Linked DNA regions of Cricetulus griseus. The protein of the gene in region 2 purifies or fractionates together with the protein of the main gene of each other region. This does not show direct contact. Links are inferred from orthologs where the notes say so. Each region holds a gene or a part of one and is shown on either strand. Other genes may lie near its edges. The genes, in order: Atf1 and Atf2.

Region 1 (4,525 bases), on a different chromosome or scaffold from region 2:
TTGAACAAATTCTGCAGATGGGGACTTCCTAAGATTCCAAGATAAGATCTTTGTTTTTGTGGTGAATGTATTACACATGCCTCTATTCCAGTCATACCCTCACATTACCACCCTTATCTGTCTTAATAAGGTTCCCTTGTCTGGCAATCTCTCTAGATTATTTAACAATGAGTTGTGTTTGCCAGGCAGGCTATTTCTCCAAGTTTTAAACAGATTTATGTGTGCTCAGTGGCCAGCAGAGATGTCATGGACCAACAGCAAGTATCAAATACAGTATTTTAACAATATTGTGCTAAGTTTGGGGTCAGGGAGCCACTCCTCATCTCCATGACTTACCTTGAGGCTTTCATTCATGTGATTTCCTATACTACAAACACAATTTATTCCCCTTCCTCCTGAGGACTTCTAAGACTTCTTCCAGGCAAACCTACAGGATGACCTCCCCTCAACTAGTCTAGAAGCTGACTGTATATCCTGGTATGTTTTTCCTTCCCTTCAAGACAGGGTTTCTCTATAGCTTTGGCTGTCCTACAACTTGCTCGTAGACCAAACTGGCCTTTTTATTCCTTTTTCTCTCTCTCCACCAGAAAGGAAGTTAAGTACATCCCTTCCCTACACAGCACAATCTTCACATTTAACACTGTAACAAAACCACCTGCTCACTTAGATGTATCTAATTAGAACTGAGGAAATAATGGCACTCCACCCCAGGTACAGAAACAGGGCAACTGAGGCACAGGAAAACTTGAGACATAATCCTATGTGAGAACTGGAAATTCACTGAACTCATGTCAGGGTTTGTTTTGTTTTGTTTTGACATGACAACCATCTTCTGGTGCTATTTACTATCACAGTCCTGTAGACCAAACAATCAAGAACTACACACACTATTTAGGAGCTGTCACATTCAAGTTTAGGATATCCAGTTTCCTGATTTGTTTCCAAGTGCGGAGTATAAAGCATGCTAGGCAAACACTCTTCCACTTAGCTACAATCTAATGGAGATGAAACTCTATGTGTAGACCGTAAAGTGGGGCAACTAGCATTTTAAACAAAACATCTACTGACAACCAACTTCTGGGATAAATGTATTTTGCGATCATAAATCCTATACAAACTTATCACAGGTGAGGCCAATTTTAAAAGATTCCTACTACATCTATGCTGTCAAGAGGCCCTTGAAGACTAGGGTCCGAATGCTTTTCAAGGCAGGACTGCTGGGGGTTCTAGGCCAAACTGAACCACAAAGAATTTAAGACCAGTTGGGAACACAGTATGAGGCCAGACAAGCTAACACTAGGCTGTAGAGATGGCTCAGCGGTTAAGAGCCCTTTCTGCTCTTACACAGGACCAGTTCCCAGCACCCACTGTAGGGAAAAGGGACAGCCAAAGAAACACACTTTGGTCCCTGGAATAAGAGCCAGTGAAAGAAATACACCCTGGACCTAAAATTAGAGCCAAACGACTAAAAAGGACCAGTGAAAGAAACACACTTTGGCCCCGAAACCAGAGACAAATTTGACCCTGAACCTGTGCAGAAAACTAACCAATCCCTGAGCAGGACATCTAGCCAATATGAGCTCAGAGATAGAAATCTGACCAATCCCCATCCTGGAAAAACTTGGGGGGGGGGGCGCTAAAAAGCCTTATATAAACCCTGTGTCTGTTGAGCTTGTGGCTATGGCAGAGGGCAGCCATTCTCCTGGATTCGTCCTTCCTAATAAACCTCTTGAATGAGGGTTGGATGAGACCTTCCTTCCCTGGAATGGAGCAGAAGTTAACAACTTTTTCCTGGAGCAGGGCTGTAAGCTGCTACGCTTACTGTGACCTGTGGTATTCTTTGGCTCCGGATTGCCAGAATATTTTTCCATCCGATCTGAACAGCCACAATGCTTAGAACCACACAACCTCTAATTGCAGTTCAGATCTGACAACCTCTGGTCTCTTCAGTCACTTGCACGCAGGCGGTGAATGTAACCTTACGAAGGTAGCAGAGGGACAAAAGGCGTCTGCAACATACCTCGTAATAAATAGATCTTTTTGTTCGTCGTCCCCATCCCCCGCCTCAGACGGGGTTTTCTCTTTGAGTAGCCTTGGCTGTCGTGGAACTCGTTGTGGCCTCAAATTCAGAGATCCGCCTGCCTCTGCATCCCAAGTCGGGAGGCAGAGGCAGGCGGATCTCTGTGAGTTCGGGGCCAACCTGGTCTATAGAGCGAGTTCCAGGACAAGCTCCAAAGGTACAGAGAAACCCTGTCTCGAAAAAAACAAACACACACAAAAGCTACCATAAAGGCGAATACGTCTAGAAGCCCTGCACCAGTAACTCTACTTAACAAATCCCGCCTCAAAAATAGAAAGAGCAGCTACCGAGACACTGAGTTTTCTACTACAACTTAAGCGGCCAGCTGGGAGACACCCGGAAGAACGGCAAAGCACCGCGTCCCGCCGCAAGGCGGGTGGCCTCGGTTTCCCCGTGGTCGAGGTAGCGGGGGGAGCCTGAGGACCCGGTGCCTGCAGCCTGGTGCGGGCCGCCCCCGGCTCTTCCTCCCGCCTACGCGCCCGGAGACGCGGCGTGGGCCGAGAGAGTCGCGGCCGAGAGCTTGGCGGAACTCGCGGCTCCTGTTTCCCGCGAGCCCAACGCTCGCGCAGCGCTCGGCCGGGAGGCGCGCGGCCGGAAGCGCGCGGCCCGTCCCACCCCCGCGCCCCTCCCCCACCGGCCAGCCGCGCGCGACCCCCGGCCAGCGCGTGGCCGCCACCGCGTCCCTCCCCGCCGTCACCGCGCTCCCGTTCGGGCCGCCCCGCTCCCCGCCGCCCCCACTTACCTGCGGAGCCGCCTGGCCGCTGCCCGGGGCGGGAACTTCCACTCCCCCGTCCCAGGCGGCGCCGACTTCGCTCTTCGCGTCGCAGCCGCAGACGGCGGCGGGCTGGCGCTTCTCCCTGGGGTCGGCGGGGCGGAGAGAAGCGGGGTAACGAGAGCCAACCGTCCCGGGTTACCGTTTCCCGGCCGCGAGGGGCGTCTCTGGCGGCATGATCGGCGGCAGCCAGGGGGCTGGGGAGGGAGGGAGGGGCGGGGCCTGCGTGGGCCGGCGTGCTGCGTCATCGCGTGCTCACGTGGCACGCCGCCATCTTGGCGAGCCTCGGGAGCGAGCGCGCGGGTGGCGTGTGCTCGCTCGGGAAACCGAGCGCTTTCGCTGGTGCTGCTCGCCCGCCCTCCAGCTGGAGCTCAGCTACTTGCTCTAAGCGTTCTGGCGGCGTTGAGGTCCATGACCTTGACCAGCACTGCTCCGTACGCTGCGAGGCTAAGGAACGTTGGGAAGCTTTTATTTGATTTTTTTTTCCAGTCCTCGGGATAGCATCATAGGAGCTGTGGGCGGAGGTGGAGGCAGCAGGATCAAAGGGAACGTGGGGCCTGGGAAGATCAGTAGTAGAGCACTTCGCTAGTATGGATGAGGGCCTGGGCTTGCTTCCCTAGCAAGAAGTTTAAAGTTGTCTTTTTTTTTTTTTTTTTTTTTTTTGGTTTTTCAAGACAGGGTTTCTCTGTGGCTTTGGAGGCTGTCCTGGAACTAGCTCTTGTAGACCAGGTTGGTCTCGAACTCACAGAGATCGGCCTGCCTCTGCCTCCCAAGTGGCGTGCGCCACCAACGCCCGGCTTAAAGTTGTCCTATTAAGAGGCTGTTTTAGGCTGAGCGGTGGTGGCGCACGCCTTTAATCCCAGCACTTGGGAGGCAGAGACAACCTGGACTATAGAGTGAGTTCCAAGACCGCCAAAGCTACACAGAGCAACCCTGTCTAGAAAAACCAAAAACAAGGACAAAAAAGTAGATAAAGTAAAAAACTGTGTGCCATTAAAATGGGACGTGCCGAAGCAGACTTCTCCCAACCATGTGGTTGCTGAGAATTTAACTCAGGACCTCTGGAAGAACAGTCACTGCTCTTAACTGGCATCTCTCCAGCCCTTTCCCAGCGGGGTGCCCAGAGGGCATGTGGGTGCTAGGAATAGTTCTGCAAGGACAAGTTCTCTGAATAGCGGAGCTGTCTCTCCACCTACTCTTGCTTTGTGTTTGTTTTTCTCTGGTAGGTGGCCTTCCCATCCTAAATGCCTGTTTGCCCAACCCCTCATCATTCCTAGTTAGTAATTAAATGGATGTAACACATGTGAGTCTCCTTATTCTTACCCGAGTTGTGCTTGAAAGATGGTTTGGTGGTTTAGAGCATGCACTGCTCTCACAGAGGCTCTCAGTTCAGTTCCCAGCACCCACCTAAGGTGCCTTACAACCCCCTTAATTCCAGCTCCAGAGGAGTCACACACACACACACACACATATATAATTATATATATATAATTTAAAGGTTCACATATCCACATCATAGCAATTCTAATGACTCAGTTCCCAAAATATACAGCATGTTGAGACAGGGTCTCACATAACGCAGCAGGCTAGATTGAACTGGGTATGTAGCTGAGGACAAACTTGAACTCCTGATCCTACTGCTTCTGCTTCCCTGGTGCTAGGATCTAAGCGTG
Region 2 (3,568 bases):
TGAAGAAGGACATTAGAGAAAGGAAAAAGCACAATTAACCTCCACAAAGCTGGAAACAGAAGAATCTCATGGAGGGGGAGGCACATTTAGAAGAAAATTCATAAGCAAATAATTTCAATACTGTTCTGTTTTAGTATTTTTATGACTAATGTGACAGTACCACATAAAACTTACAAGCACACAGACATTGTCCAATGCTGACATTATCTATAAAAGAACAATAGGATAGGATACTATAAATGGAGAGTATATGGTTGAATGAAGATAGTGGATTAAAAAATTCTCATCATTACTAAATGGGGGCAGCAAAGGAAAAACTGGCTCTGTCAATTCAGGATGTGTCAACATATGACAATAAATGATCACTGATATTAAACAGTGTACTTAAAAATGTTTAGTTAACAACTTATGATCCATACTAATGCCTAGAAAAAAGCTAAAAACAGGAAAACTTTTCTTCTTCTTACCCCAGACTATAATAATCTTGCAGAAACCCTGATATTTAATCTTAAGTTCTACCACTGCAGTCTGCACTTTTGTACTGGTAGTACTGCTCACTCTGGCAGTCTGTCACTGATACAGCCTACAGCTGTAGGTAATGGAACATTACTCACTGTGATAGCCAGACTTCTTCTGCATGGCGGTTACAGGGCAATCTTTATGAGCCAGAAGAAGCTGTTTCAGCTGTGCCACTTCATTTCTCAGCAGGGTGACTTCGCTCTGGAGAAGAAACAGCTCATATGCCTTACCAGCATTAGATAAAACTTATTTTACTATTTAAAGAAAGCAAAGCTTAAGGCATGAAAAGTCTATCTTTTTGGCAGAACACTAAGGGACATGTACTATTTAAATAAATTTAATCAATATCCATCAGTTTTGTGTCTTAGCATTTATACTAAGTTTTTAGTGTAGAGAGCTGAAACCATATCAATACCATAACTGTGCATCCTAGCTCACCATTGCCATGGAACCCTTATGCACTGAGGGTCTTTACATGTTATATGCACTTCTGATTATTTGAAAACTTGAAAGGTCAATAATTTGGATGAATTTTCAATGATTCCATTGAAAAAGTTCATCCTGGAAATGTAATTAAGCAAGTTTATATAGTTTAGAAACAAAGAAATTACATTTATTCAAGAAAACTTGCTGAGCACTATGCAGGGTACCAGAACCAATGAAAGTGGATGTACTGTTAAATGTATTTGTTGCCTGTGATACACACATCTAAAATAAATTCATCTAATTTAAGAAATTAGTGATCATTTACCAACACTCATGACTTAGAAATACTATGGATTTAATAAATTAGCATTAAAAATTCACTATAAATGTTTCTTCTTATCCGGATTTACATGAACTCTAATCATCTAGGTTTTACCCATGAACCCCAAAGTATTAATAAGTGAGAATATTCAGCACACTGGCATACATAAAATTGCAGGCACATAATCCACCAACACCTCTCTTTTTGAGGCAGGGTATCATTGCATCCCAGGCTGGCCTCTAAACCAGAGCAATCCTCCTGCCCTAGGCCTGAGTGCTGGGATTACTATTAAGTGTTTACCACCAAACCCAGCCTCTACTCTACCTCTTAAACCAGAAAGCTGAATGTGAACTACTTTAGCAGATTAGTCGTATTAGGCCTTCCTAAGTGACTGATGACAAAAACAAAATCATGAGAACAAAAGTTAAGCAATCTGAAAAATGACTGTGCAAATAGTCTTCTACACCCCTATAACACTGGCAACAGCGTACTAAAGCACAGAACAAAACTTTATGCTAGTATAACCCTAATCAGTAAAAGGTTAACGTAAATTTAGAATACTTTATTTAAGAATAGTAGTGGGGGCTGGAGAGATATTTCAGTAGTTAAGAGCACTGGCTACTCTTTCAGATGATTAGAGTTCAATTGCAGTTCCAGGGGATCAAACCTCTCTCTCTCTCTCTCTCTCTCTCTCTCTCTCTCTCTCTCTCTCTCTCTCTCTGACAAAACACACACACACACACTCACACACACAATGACAAAACAACAATGCACCAGGCATTGGTGGCGCACACCTTTAGTTACAGCACTCGGGAGGCAGAGGCAGGTGGATCTCTGTGAATTTGAGACCAGCCTGGTCGTTCCAGGACAGCCTTCAAAGCCACAGAGAAACCCTGTCTTGAAAACAACAACAACAACAACAAAAAACCCAAAAACCAAACCAAAACAAAAGTGCAACTAAAAATTTAGAGGAATGGGTGGCTATAGATTCCTCTCCAATAAATATGACTTCACTAGCACTGAGTAGGTAACTGGGTTTTTCAGTATCAGACACGGTCTCCCTCTTGTTAAGTGGGTCTTAAATCCAATCAAAGAGCTACTGGTTACCATCATGGTATGCCCCTATTGCACCATTAGGTTAACTGTGTTATGCTGATCACTGATGTGGTTTCTAGGTGTCATAGCTGGATTAAGACTGTTGATTGCTTCCCTGCTTTGGAAGCATGTATGGCACCTTCTGGTACCATGAAAGCTAGTCTTCAGGGAAGCAGCATTTAGGTCAGTTCCAGCTCAGGGGTCTCTGGGCCCTAGCTCTGAAGTTCAGTGTCTTAGCAATAGGGACTTACCTTCCACCTCTTGGGGGTGAGAGGGAGTGACCAAGTGCAACAGCAATAGACTGTATGTTTTGTGAGTCTCTTGGAAAGCCCTGGACAATAACTAAAAAGAGGGTATATCATGTCTGGTATTGGCAATGGTTTTTAGTTCTTGGAGGAAGTTTTGTTCACTCAGATGAGAAAGGTTCATTAAAACTATGTATGCATATAAAAACAAAAAAAAACTATATTCATACACAGAGTATATAGTTTTGGGGGATTATTTTTTAAAAAAATAGTTAATAGTTTAATTGCTTGTAGCTTTTCCAGACATCCTTATCGTTATTTTACCTACCTCTCTCCTTTTGTATTGACTGTCCTCCCAATTCCTAAAGAGCTGCCCTTTCCCACTTCCCACATCAGACCACTTGAATACTGCTATCCTCCTCTATTCCCCCTCCACCTCTTCTGTATTTCTCTCCCTGCCTCTCCCAAAGGAGCCCCTCCCTTTTCCCATATCCCTGATCAGACTGCTTATACCCTCCCAAACCTCCCTCACCCATAAAGTCTCACCAAGATGACTGTCTAAATGTTAGCGGAACAAGAATGACATCAGTGAACATGCCAAACATGAATGGAGAAAAGACCCCGCCCCTACCTCCCCTTAACTGTACACAAAGAACTACCGGCAACTAAAGAAAACTGGGAATGGGAGAGATGGTGTTCCTAAGGAAAGAACATACCAGTTGTCTGTCCAGTATCAATGACTCACCCTTAAAAACATACATATAGGTAGCATTACATAGACTCAACAGGTTATATTTAGAAACATACATATATGCAATAACAATTAGTTGAAAAAAAAGAGGCCATGAATTTGAATGAAAGTGAGGGGTATATTATGGCTTTAGAGGGAGGAAAGGGGAGAGAGAAAAGTAAAAAAAAAATGTTTTTATTAGGAACAAAAAGATAATTTAAATCACTTAGT

The links.
Region 1: the proteins of Atf2 (region 2) and Atf1 purify together in Homo sapiens (affinity purification with mass spectrometry; 3 studies listed by BioGRID and IntAct, with this or other methods). This does not show direct contact. The link is inferred for Cricetulus griseus from reciprocal best matches to the Homo sapiens genes ATF2 and ATF1.

What each region holds. Positions count from the first base shown.
Region 1 is NC_048595.1:396,707,817-396,712,341, reverse strand, and holds the start of Atf1 (cyclic AMP-dependent transcription factor ATF-1), read right to left. Parts: upstream 3,077-4,525; 5' UTR 2,823-3,076; intron 1-2,822.
Region 2 is NC_048599.1:101,318,488-101,322,055, reverse strand, and holds the end of Atf2 (cyclic AMP-dependent transcription factor ATF-2), read right to left. Parts: intron 721-3,568; coding exon 607-720; downstream 1-606. UniProt on the Homo sapiens protein: Transcriptional activator which regulates the transcription of various genes, including those involved in anti-apoptosis, cell growth, and DNA damage response.